3 linked regions of the Danio rerio genome follow. The protein of the gene in region 1 purifies or fractionates together with the protein of each later gene. This does not show direct contact. Links are inferred from orthologs where the notes say so. Each region holds a gene or a part of one and is shown on either strand. Other genes may lie near its edges.

What was found.
Region 2: the proteins of chek1 (region 1) and cul1b purify together in Homo sapiens (affinity purification with western blotting; 6 studies listed by BioGRID and IntAct, with this or other methods). This does not show direct contact. The link is inferred for Danio rerio from reciprocal best matches to the Homo sapiens genes CHEK1 and CUL1.
Region 3: the proteins of chek1 (region 1) and hax1 purify together in Homo sapiens (affinity purification with mass spectrometry; 3 studies listed by BioGRID and IntAct, with this or other methods). This does not show direct contact. The link is inferred for Danio rerio from reciprocal best matches to the Homo sapiens genes CHEK1 and HAX1.

Annotation. Positions count from the first base shown.
Region 1 is NC_133196.1:24,017,402-24,021,679, forward strand, and holds the start of chek1 (serine/threonine-protein kinase Chk1), read left to right. Parts: upstream 1-1,344; 5' UTR 1,345-1,574; intron 1,575-1,793; 5' UTR 1,794-1,801; coding exon 1,802-1,866; intron 1,867-1,951; coding exon 1,952-2,107; coding exon of another isoform or gene 2,108-2,175; intron 2,176-3,082; coding exon of another isoform or gene 3,083-3,147; intron 3,148-3,261; coding exon of another isoform or gene 3,262-3,275; coding exon 3,276-3,331; intron 3,332-4,278. UniProt on the Homo sapiens protein: Serine/threonine-protein kinase which is required for checkpoint-mediated cell cycle arrest and activation of DNA repair in response to the presence of DNA damage or unreplicated DNA.
Region 2 is NC_133199.1:21,249,806-21,253,461, reverse strand, and holds part of cul1b (cullin-1b), read left to right. Parts: intron 1-2,376; coding exon 2,377-2,544; intron 2,545-3,077; coding exon 3,078-3,128; intron 3,129-3,656. UniProt on the Homo sapiens protein: Core component of multiple cullin-RING-based SCF (SKP1-CUL1-F-box protein) E3 ubiquitin-protein ligase complexes, which mediate the ubiquitination of proteins involved in cell cycle progression, signal transduction and transcription.
Region 3 is NC_133194.1:8,853,752-8,858,190, reverse strand, and holds the start of hax1 (HCLS1-associated protein X-1), read right to left. Parts: upstream 2,808-4,439; 5' UTR 2,746-2,807; coding exon 2,675-2,745; intron 1,119-2,674; coding exon 886-1,118; intron 1-885. UniProt on the Homo sapiens protein: Recruits the Arp2/3 complex to the cell cortex and regulates reorganization of the cortical actin cytoskeleton via its interaction with KCNC3 and the Arp2/3 complex. Slows down the rate of inactivation of KCNC3 channels. Promotes GNA13-mediated cell migration.

The sequences.
Region 1 (4,278 bases):
TCTTTTCTATCTTTCTACCTTCTCTCTTTTACTGAAGACAAACTTATGTTAATGTCTATCTAATGTTGATAGATAGATAGATAGATAGATAGATAGATAGATAGAAAGATAGATAGATAGATAGATAGATAGATAGATAGATAGATAGATAGATAGATAGATAGATAGATAGATAGATAGATAGATAGATAGATTTCTCTTTGGGCACATAAAATTTATGTATAATGAAAATGTTTTACTATAGTTACTATAGCATAATATTATAAAATAGTAGGCCTATCATTGTATACATTAATGTATAGTATATGCCTGTCTGTTATGATATAGTAGGCCTGATTGTAAGGTTATTTATTACTATATGACTATTAGAATTATTATTGTATAATTATTATGACGTTAATATATTCAATATAAAACATGTAACGTTAATAATGGTCAACACAAATAACTCACCAATGCCACTGAATGTGCAGGTCCAGTAATTTCGCGACACCGAATCCTGCTTCTTTGGGCTGTCAACATTGTTAATTTTTTTCTTACCTTATTTATTTAGGTTTACCCTTTAAATGGTTTACTAATTTCTGACACTCAAGACAGCTTTAGAAACGACCGTCTAACACTCAATAAATGAAGTTGTGTTTACGGAACTGAAGTGATGTTGCCATAACAACGAAAAAGGACCACTTCGATACATCAGCCAAAGAGCTTAGAATCACTCTATGCTCTTTGCATCAGCCTATCTGCGCCTCCCATGTGCGCCTATAGTTATGTGATGATGATGATAATTATGTTAGCTTATAATTGTAAAATATTATTTTAAATATATCGAAATGCTAGAAATAAACTACTGCCGTGAACTTTTGCCCACTTATTGACGGGCTTTTATGTTAGAAAATAAAATAAAAGCCCCTACATAAACGGTTTATTTCATGATTATTTCTTGTGTTCTTCTTATTTATAAATAATAACATGAAAACGTAAAACGCATAAAATACTTATCATATTCATCTTTTGCTTATATAGCTAATGTTAAATACTGCTGTTGTATACATTAATATGACAGTTATAAAAAACTAAATCAAAAAATATTTTTACAGTACAATTCAAATGAAAGAAACACAACAGGGATATAAAAATCTTCTTCTTCTTTTTTTTTTATATTTCGCATGTTGTGGTTGTTCTTAATAATTCTATATAACATAATGCTAAAAAGTTTCCCAGTGATGGGTTTCAGCTGGAAGGGCATCCGCTACGTAAAACATGTGCTATATAAGTTGGCGGTTCGTTCCGCTGTGGCGACCCAAGATTGACTATGCCGAAAAGAAAATAATTGAATGAATGAATAACGCAAAAAGTTGTCCCTCATGTTAGCGGTTTAAGCTTTTATTTTGAAAATTCTTTCCTCTTAGCATTTCCGATGATGTCACGTCTCTAGAAGGCGCCAAAGTTTGGACAGACGCTCTTGTATTATTATGTCTGCATAGACACTTATCAAGGGGGTGTGTGATTATAACAACAAATTACATTAACAAACCGCTTCACATGGGACAACGTTACCTCTGATATACGCGAAGGTATGTTTGTTTTAGCTAAATTAAAACTAATATCCGACAGCCCAAAGCTATCAGATTTGACGTTTCACTGTTTACAATTGCCTGCCCCGTAACATTTATCATGTTTACTGTTATATTTATTTACTAAAAACTAACATATGTCCTGTAAGTGTTATAGTCTATTAGCTTGTTATGCTGATTTGCTTTTACAAGGTTGTTCTGACTGACTTATGCCCACAGATTGCATAATGGCTGTGCCTTTTGTTAAAGACTGGGATGTGGTACAAACTCTTGGAGAGGGAGCATATGGAGAGTAAGTGACCAATGCACTTCATATTCGTTCCATCTTGATCAGTTGCAGTCTTAAAATTGTATTAATCTGCTTCAAATCATTGTAGGGTGCGACTGCTGGTCAACAAGAAGACAGAAGAGGCTGTGGCGGTGAAAGTTGTGGACATGGCAAAAGCCAAGGATTGCATCGAGAATGTGAAGAAGGAGGTCTGCATATGCAAGATGCTTTCACACCCCAACATTGTACGTTTCTTTGGGCACAGGAGTGAGGGGACGACACAGTACATCTTTCTGGAGTACTGTAGCGGAGGAGAGCTCTTTGACCGAATAGGTAATTGAACATTTTGGGTTCATTCAATAATTGTTGCATCCTTTTTGTTTTTGAGTCGTGTAGATGAGTCAGGGTTCAACGCTGGGGAGTTTTTCTACTGGTCTGATCGGGCCAATGATTCATATTTTTACTTGCCCTGACAAAAATTTTTACAGGCCCAAAAACAAAAAAGAGAAGTTAATAGCTTTTTTTTAGCCACATATTTTAAATAATGTGACATAAATAATGTCTGTGAATCTAGAAAATAAATATTTATAATGAGCAAAATTCTCAGTGTTGTGCAAACAAAAAGAGCAGTACGGAAAATGTGCAGGTTTTTTATTGCAGTTTGAAATTATATAAAAAATGGTGGCCGACTTGTAATACTGACGGCAAATTGTGCAAAACATTACTTCATTTTTCTCATGTTGTACCCATGTAAATGTCTGCTTCTAAGATGTTAAACACAGACATTTTCTTTTATCCTTATATTTTGATGTTGCTGTCACTTCACCACTGGTTGTTACCAGGTTATGGGGAAAAATATAGCATGCTCAATACACAAAATCAGATAAGAGCAACCAAAAAACAATATGGTGTTTACGACATCACAGAAAAGGTAGCATTTAAAGACTTAAAAACACAAACTTAAAATGCTTGCATTTGACCAATAATCGCAGGTCAATTAAGCTTTAGTGACAAGGCAGCACTTTCCCAATCGTAATGATCCTGTCTACTATCCCAAGTGTCTCTCACGCTGGCCCCGGGCCATCAGGCAGTCCTTGTTGTTGAGCCCTGTGAGTAAATCAACTGTAAAAAAAACAAATGTTCCCATCCTTTGCTTTCTTGTCAGAATTGATTTATTAAAATAAAGGCATTAAAATACCTAAAATTTATCTAAAGTATATTTTGTCAATCTTTCTGACAGAACCGGATGTTGGGATGCCAGAAAAGGAGGCGCACAGGTTTTTTCAGCAGCTGATAGCTGGTGTGGTAAGATTTGTGATCTTTTTTTTTTTTTTTTTTTTTTTTTTTATGGTGTATTTTGAGAACCATTTACTCTTCAAAGTTGACTTTGTTGTGAAACTTGCTCCATCTCACTTACAGGAATATCTTCACAGTGTTGGGATTACACATCGTGACATAAAGCCTGAGAATATTCTTCTTGATGATAAAGGTACGTCTGAATGGTATTTTTATACAGGATAAAATGCAATGTTCCACATGGTGTTCGCGGGGTCTTAAAGTCCTAAAATGTTTTAAATTTCCAAAGCTAAATGTTAGGCCATAAAGTCTTTAATCTATTAAAATATTGTGTTGTAGGTCTTAAATCTTTTTAAACAGGTCTTAATTTTCAGTTGTTTATAAATAGTTACCCAATCTGGCCATTAACATCCATATAATCACCAACAATCCATCTTTTATTTACAAATGTCCTGTTTAACTCCATTTACCATAATTGTTTAATTATTTTCCTAATAATAATAATTATTATTATTTAAAAGTTCCACTTGTATTTACTGCTTAGGACACTAACCTGGATGGACTGTTTTGCATACATTTAGTTTATTATAATAACTTTTAAAACATTTGTCCATTTTTCAGAAAGTCTATGTTGAAAAAAAGAGTGTTTGCAGCTAGAACTTGCTTGTTTTGACACAATATTTTGCTAATAGATATTTAAATTTGTTATTCAATTATCATAGTATTATTAAATTATATAATTTTTTATAGTGCAAAAATAAATATTTTTTTTTATCTGGGCCATTTAAAAAATTCTTTAGGGTTTAGCCCTGTATGAGTCTAAAATTTGTACATAATGGTCAAAATGTCTTAAAAAGTCTTAAATTTAACTTGGTGAAACCTGCAGAAGTTCCAGCTTCACAGATAAATTCAGCAGCAATATCCATGACACAAACACACACAGAAAAGCATTTTATTATCGATGTGCTGATATGAAATTGCAATATAGTCTGCTTTGGAGAGCTGGGGGTCTGTTTGGATTGTCAAATAAATTAATAAGCAAAATAAACAGTCCAGTAAAATTAAAAATGTACTCAAATTAAACTGGGCACATTACTATAGTAGTAGATCAATACAGACTAAACTAACATAAACTTAATA
Region 2 (3,656 bases), on another chromosome or scaffold:
TCTTCCAAAGAGATTCTTAAGATTCTTATAGTTATTTTAACAATTTAATAATTAGGTACCAGGCTAAATTTACAGGCTGCGAAATCTGCTTCCAGATCTATTTTCAGTTGTCAGGCATCAGCATGAAAATATACTATAGTAATTCATAGTAAATACTATAGTGTTTTTTTACCATACTGACACTGACACATCTGATAGAGATGTTGCCCATCAGCTAAAATGTTGCTAAAAAAATTTTTATGTATGGGCGATACACGGTTGAAATCAGAATTATAACCCCCCTGAATTATTAGCACCCCTGTTTATTTTTTTCCCCCAGTTTCTGTTTTCAACACTTTTCTTAACGTAATAGTTTTATAACTCATTTTAATAACTGATTTGTTTTATCTTTACCATGATGACTGTAAATAATATTTGACTATATATTTTTCAAGACACTTCTGTACAGCTTAAAGTGACATTTAAAGGCTTAACTAGGTTAATAAAGTTAGGCAGGTTAGGGGAATTAGGCAAGTTATTTTATAACAGTGGTTTGTTCTGTAGATTATCGAGAAAAAATATAGCTTAAAGGGGCTAATAATTTTGTCCCTAAAATGTTTTTTAAAAAATTCTAAACTGCTTTTATTTTGGCCGAAATAAAAAACAAGACTTTCTCCTGAAGAAAAAATATTATCAGACATGCTGTAAAAAATTATTTTGGTCTGTTAGACATAATTTGGGAAATATTTAAAGAAGAAAAAAAAATTCTGACTTTAATTGTATATTGCATAACTGAAAATGGTTGAGGTCGTGTCCATGTGTTGTGCGATAAGTCAAAATATTGATTATTGTGACAGGCCTTTAAGTAATTATTGCTCAAAAACAAGCTAAATTTATGAAACTCACATGTTTATATTTACACTGTAAACCTTATTTAAGTTAAATCAAATTAACTTGGTTAGGTATATCTACTTAAATCAGTCAAACTGACTAAAATATTATGTTAAACTTTGTATAGCTAAAACAATTCACTTGAACCCTGATTAACTTGATAAACTTTTATCAAGTTGTTGATCTATTGGTATACATAATATACTTGTCAAAATGATTCAGTCCGAAATGGTAAAAGGTCAAATGTATTTACAACATATTCTTTTAACTCCCAGATGAATAATGACATAAAGCATCTTTTAAACGTAACTGTGTATTTTTGGTTAAAGCACAACGTTTTGCTCCCTTATTGACAACAGAGCAAAATTTCCTTGCTCTGTTAGACATAATATATATATATATATATATATATATATATATATATATATATATATATATATATATATATATATATATATATATATATATTAATATATATATATATATATATATATTAATATATATATATATATATATATATATATATATATATATATATATATATATATTAATATATATTTATATTTATATATATATATATATATATATATATATATATATATATATATATATATATATATATATATATATATATATATATATATATTATGTCTAACAGAGCAAGGAAATTTTCACCGTATGTCCGATAATATATTTTCTTCTGTAGAAAGTCTTGTTTCTACAGAAACAAGACTTATTTCGGCTAGAATAAAAGCAGTTTTTAATTTTTTAAACATAATTTTAGGGACAAAATTATTAGCCCCTTTAAGCTATATTTGTTCTCGATAATCTACAGAACAAACCACTGATATACAATAACTTGCCTAATTACACTTACCTGCCTAGGTAACCTAATTAACCTAGATAAGCCTTTAAATGTCACTTTTAGCTGTATAGAAGTGTCTTAAAAATATCTAGTCAAATATTATTTACAATCATGGCAAAGATCAAATAAATCAGTTATTAAAACTGTTATGTTTAGAAATGTGTTGAAAAAATCTGCTCTCCATTAAACAGAAACTGGGGAAAAAATAAACAAGCGGTCGAAAAATTCAGGGGGGCTAATAATTCTGACTTTAACTGTATGTATATATATATATATATTTCTAAGCAAACAGTTCTACTTTCGCAATACCACAATTGGTTTGGTTTACACTTATGCAATTCATACAAGATTTATATTAGAAATCAAAATGTAAGAATTAGTTTTAGTACATTTTGCAATATTTGTGAGGATTTTATTATGCTAATGTTGCATAAATAAATTAATTGTACCATATTAACACTGGCTAATCATTACACAACATGGCTTTCCATAACTAATAAGTATTTGTTTATTTAAAAAAAACATCAGGCTTAGTAGTTTTCCATGCCTTGTTAAAATGCAAAGCAGTATGAGTTGTCAGTTCTCCAGACCTCGCTCACTTCTCCACCTGTTTCTCTCCTCCATCTGTGTGTGTCTGGCAGGATGGAGAGGACCTGATGGATGAGAGCGTGCTAAAGTTCTACACACAGCAGTGGGAGGACTATCGCTTCTCCAGTAAAGTGTTAGATGGGATCTGTGCTTACCTCAACAGACACTGGGTGCGTCGGGAGTGTGATGAGGGACGGAAAGGAATTTATGAAATCTACTCGGTGAGAGAAACAGCGCACGCCCCTGCCTGACTCATTGCTTCCTGTTTTACATTTCTATACATTGTGTTCATCAGACTGAGTGATGACTAAACCTTGTAGTATTTCAATTCAATTTATTGCATATAACAGCCAACAGACCATACCTGCGATCACCCATCAGCAGTATTTTTGATTAATGCTTGCCATGGTCCGTTGTTAGCTGATAAAAGATCTGTCATTTGACCAGTTGGCTTGATGTGTTGAACATGTTTATGTGTTGCTGTGCTATAAAAAACCTAACTGTTTATTTATTGTGATTATATTATTTAGATTTAAATGGTAGCAGGTAAAATCTTTATTGTTCAGCCCTGAATTAATAGTAATTAAATAATTGAATGCTAATAATAGCTATATTTACTAATGTTATTGTTTAATTTCTCTCAAATTCTGTCACAAATCTAATATTTTGCTTTTGTAAATAGTTTTTAATAATATTGTGTGTTTTATATCTGTTTTAGTAATAAACTATATAAAATAATGTTTGTGCTTTTCAGCTTGCTTTGGTCACTTGGAGAGAATGTTTATTCAGACCTCTAAACAAGCAGGTGAGTCAGTCATTTCTTTTCTTGGCATTTTATAATTATGCAGTTGTAAATGACACTACTATATTTCTTATATTTGTATCAGATGAAATATAGTAAATACAGTGCTCGGCATATATGAGTACACCCCTCACAAATCTCTCATTTAAATTAATAATTTCTATAGGATGCTTTTCAGTGTTATATTTGTGCAAAAACATTAAATTAGTCAGTACTGAAGCCAAATCTGGAGCTAATAATTCCATTTGTAAAAGATGTTATTTGACTAAATATAATTTTAATAAATATATCCGTTAAATTAATCTGTTTTGTTCAAATGCGCCAATATATATTACCCATATTCACTGAGAATGGATAAAAATATTCATTTTCAAAATGGGGTGTACTCAGTTATACTGAGATTGCTGCAGATTACCCAAGACTAATTCTCCCTTTTTTTTAGAACCAAATTAGCCATATACAGTTAAAGTCAGAATAATTAGCTCCCCTGAATTATTTTATTTAACAGAGCGAAGTTTAAACACATTTCTA
Region 3 (4,439 bases), on another chromosome or scaffold:
AGTTCTGTCTCAGTTTGAAAATGCGCGATTGTGGTTATTTGCACTGGTGTAGATACTGGCCTAGACACTTTCACTCAATTAGTAATTTTAACTGGAGAATGTCATCTGAACAAGCAATAAAATACATCGGCCACTTTTGTTTTGACCAAATCTGAGGGGGAAAGTAATACAATAAATTGTGCAATGAGCTGATCTAACCATCATCAATTAGCTTATTTCACAACAAACTGTAAATTATTACCCTGTTCTGACATTGTAAGACAATTTGTAAAATTATGACAAGCCTGTCATTGTGTATTCGGCTAAGGTATGGACAGTTTAGAAATTTTTATCTTGGGGTATTTTTTCAGTAATTTGGGGTCATTTAGTACCAAAAAAGGAAAGAAATTGAATACTTTGTAATGTCAACACTCATGTTGCTCTTCTCATAAGTATTCTTTATTATTATAACATCTTCATTCATTCAGTCAGTCATTTATTTTCTTTTCGGCTTAGCCCCTTTTTTCATCAGGGGTCAACACAGCGGTGTGAACCGCCAACTTATCCAGCATATGTTTTACGCAACAGATGCCCTTCCAGCTGCAACCCATCACTGGGAAACACCCATACACATTCACACACATACATTATGGCCAATTTAGACTACCTACAGCACACTTTGGACTGTGGGAGAAACCGGCGCACCCAGAGGAAACCCACGTGAACACAGGGAAAACATGCAAGCTCCACACAGAAATGCCCAGCCGAGGCTCAAACCAGCGACCTTCTTGCTGTGAGGCGATCATGCTATCCACTGCTCACCCATGTCACCTTATTGTTTATAAATTAACTATAATTGGTCATTCAAAATGTTAAATTGAAAAGGGACAGAGCAAAGAGACACACCTCTCGGTCCAAATCCATGTCGCTCATCAAAGCGTCCCAGACCAGCAAACATCTCCTCCATGTCTCTGAAGATCTGGCCGAACATCTGAGGCTCTTCAAAGCGTGCCCCGCCTGGACCGAAACTGAATCCAAACCTGAAGGCATCGTCAAACGGATCCCGATGGGGTCTGTTAAAGTCATCCTCGTCTTCATCATCATCATCTTCATGAATCATTCCATCAAAGAAGGGGTCCCTGTATTAAAAAAAACCATGATTCAAATTGTCAGACCACTCTAAACTAAACATCACTGTAGCTGATTAATCTGGCGCAATATAGGACAAATTAATATTATTTATGCCAACAAGGTCTACATTTAAAAGAAAAAAAATCATTATTTATGTTGATTACCATTACACCAAAAGTGCTTACAGTTATATGCAAAGTGCCGTTGGATTTTTAACCACCATTAAAAACCCTTTGTATAGTTTAAAATATATTTAATCTAGGTTTGGTGTAAAAACAATAATAGTTAATTAAAGAAAATAAAGATAAGTGTAACATCAAGTGACAGGTAATGAAAATATCTTAATTATTACTAAAAATTATGAATGTTTATTTAACAAATATAACATTTTAGCATGCAAGTCTAAGCATGATTTTAAGATAAATATTCTTGGGTCAAAAAATATGCTGCTTATATTCTGTTGCTCTGCTTTTTTTTTGGGTGGGGGGGTTCATAAAACTACATCCAGTGTACATATTTGTACAGGGCATCACGGTGGTGCAGTGGGTAGCAAGATCGCCTCACAGCAGGAAGGTCGCAGAGTCTCGGCTGGGTCAGTTGGCATTTCTGTGTGGAGTTTGCATGTTCTCCCTGTGTTGGCGTGGGTTTCCCCCATATTCCAAAGACATGTGGAACAGGTGAATTGAAGCTAAATTGGCCATAGTGTATGCGTGCTTCCCAGAGTTGGATTGCAGCTGGAAGGTCATCCGCTGCGTACAACATATGCTGGATGAGTTGGCGGTTTATTCGGCTGTGGTGACCACTGATTACTAAAGGGACTAAGCCGAAAAGAAAATTAATATTCTTTTATCTTTTCTTTCATATTTCTTCTCTTTATATTAGGATATTCTGATGTCATCTGTTGCTGAATTTTTCATACTTATTACTACTTTAAAATGTGAAACCGCAATAATTAAGTCTCATTTAATTAAAGTACTTATGAAGAGGTGTGTGTTAATGTTTCAAGGAGCAACACGGTGTTTACCATTTCATGTTCTGGTGTGTCAAAATAAAAGTGAAAGAATGTTCCATATGGCTTCACATCTCTACATCTCAGCTGTTACTTACTCGAAAATAAAACTGGACCAAATAATCTGTGTACTTGCAAAGTTATTGTCTATCTAACATATATATTAAAACTTATAATGACACGAACATAATTTAATTTCAATATATAAACGCTTTTGTTTATTTAAAAATGTTTAAATGTTACTTGTATTAAAACCATTAACGATACAAAAACCTCAAGAAAGCGAGATGAATTATATTAGATTACATAACTTCTACACACAAGATTACCATTTAAACGATCATCGTTTTGCTTTAACCATTATGCTATTAACTTAACACAAAGGATGCAATTCACAAGTTACAAACCGTAATATTTGCAGATAAAATATAAATTAAGTACATAACGCACAGAACAACACAAAATACACGTGGTTATATATTTAAACATTATCTGTTTAACAGCAGCAGCTGTCAGGTGACGTTTGAACTTATTTTAACAATTTGACAAACTCACCTGCGGCCATCTTCTCGATAATGACCTCCGGGAACCCCGAAAAACCCACGAAACAGATCAAAAACGCTCATTTATGGACAGAATCCTGAGACCTTCACAAAATGCCACCATAACAAACAGAGTTGCATCAGAGATTAGCGCAGGAAGAACAGTGAGGAAACCTACTAGAGCTTTCCACCTGCTTCCGCACAAGTTTCAAAATTAAAGTCCCACACGGCATGATGTGTTCCTTCTTGCGTCTGTTATCTTTTAACGCTTTCTTTCTAAACAAATGCTTAAGTCAATTAAGTTGGATTATATTTAGTTACATAAAGTATCGATACTGTAAAATGAACCTTATGAAATTTAAAACGATTACATACACGTTTTACCGGAAGTTTATCGGCTGCATTTTGAAATTAAAAGTATATACTAAACTTTCGATAGTTCACAAATAACCAAACGTTACCAACAAGGTAATGTCATCATGGTTATACGCTGTAAAAAAAATCTAAACTATTTCTATAACTATTTGTAAAAAAAAAAAAAAAAAAAAAAAAAAAAAAAAAAAGTGTTTAATTTGTTTCAGACCGGTTAGTTTGTTTCTACTGTAAATAACAAGAATGCTGGAAACAAGTAGCCGTTGACTTTTATAGTTATTTATTTATTTTCCCCTTCTATAGAGGTAAGTAGCTACCTATTTCTAATATTCTTAAATATCTGTGTTCAACAGAAAAACAGACTATATTTATGTTATGTAGGATATGTATGGGAGAAATAAAGGACTTATACTATCAAAATGTGCAAGTTTAAACATTCATGAAGATTTTAAAATTGCTTAATTTTAATTCATCAAGTTTAAAAGTAATATCTTTGAATAAATTCTATTAAATTACTGTGTTAAGTAAAAAATATGTATTTTTAAATAAAGAGGTTTTATATTGTTGGCAAGTTAAAAAGTTAAATAAAAAGCACATCAAAAATTTAAATCTACCTTACTTTATCTGTAATCTAGTATTGGATTAGATATTTAGGTAATCTACATATGCATCGTAAACCAAATTATTTAAATATATTCTACATCCAGCAACTGTGGTAAGATTTGTATTCAGACACTTAACTATCATTTCAGTCCTATTTTTACATAATAAATTGAGAAACCAATACATTTTAAACCCCAAGGCAACAGGGCTCCTTGTATTAGATTTAAAAAATAAGATGTGAATGTACATTTGCAAAGCAACACTTGACGTGATCAACCTGAACAAAGAAGCAGACTGCAGTTAAAGAGGCACACAAACTTCGGTTTTCTTAAAAAAGACATTCACATCCCAAAAAAATGATGAAAATGTCTTTTTCTTGTTTATTTACTTAATATTTATATATATATTTTTTACAAAATAAAAAAACATTATGAAACAAAACGAAATGCTAACAAGTCTGTGTAGGGATTCGAGAGGGGAGAAAAGAAGCCATCAAACAAACAGACTACAGTACTTGTGTTTTTTATATATATATATATATGTACAAGACAAGTTTATCCATTTAAATCTTTTTAAAACGCACAGTACAAAAAGAAAGTCACTGACAAAGAAAAAAAAAACAAACAAAAAGAAAATACCCATAGTACAATTCTGTCCATCAGCACTTTCCTAATAATCAGATTACTAAAAGAATATATTTGGGGGACAGACGGGAGGAGAAAGACTGCAGGTCAGAAAGGAGGACAGAGAAAACACAGGGTGGCCCAAAACAAAAAACACACACGGGGTGACCTCTTAATCCC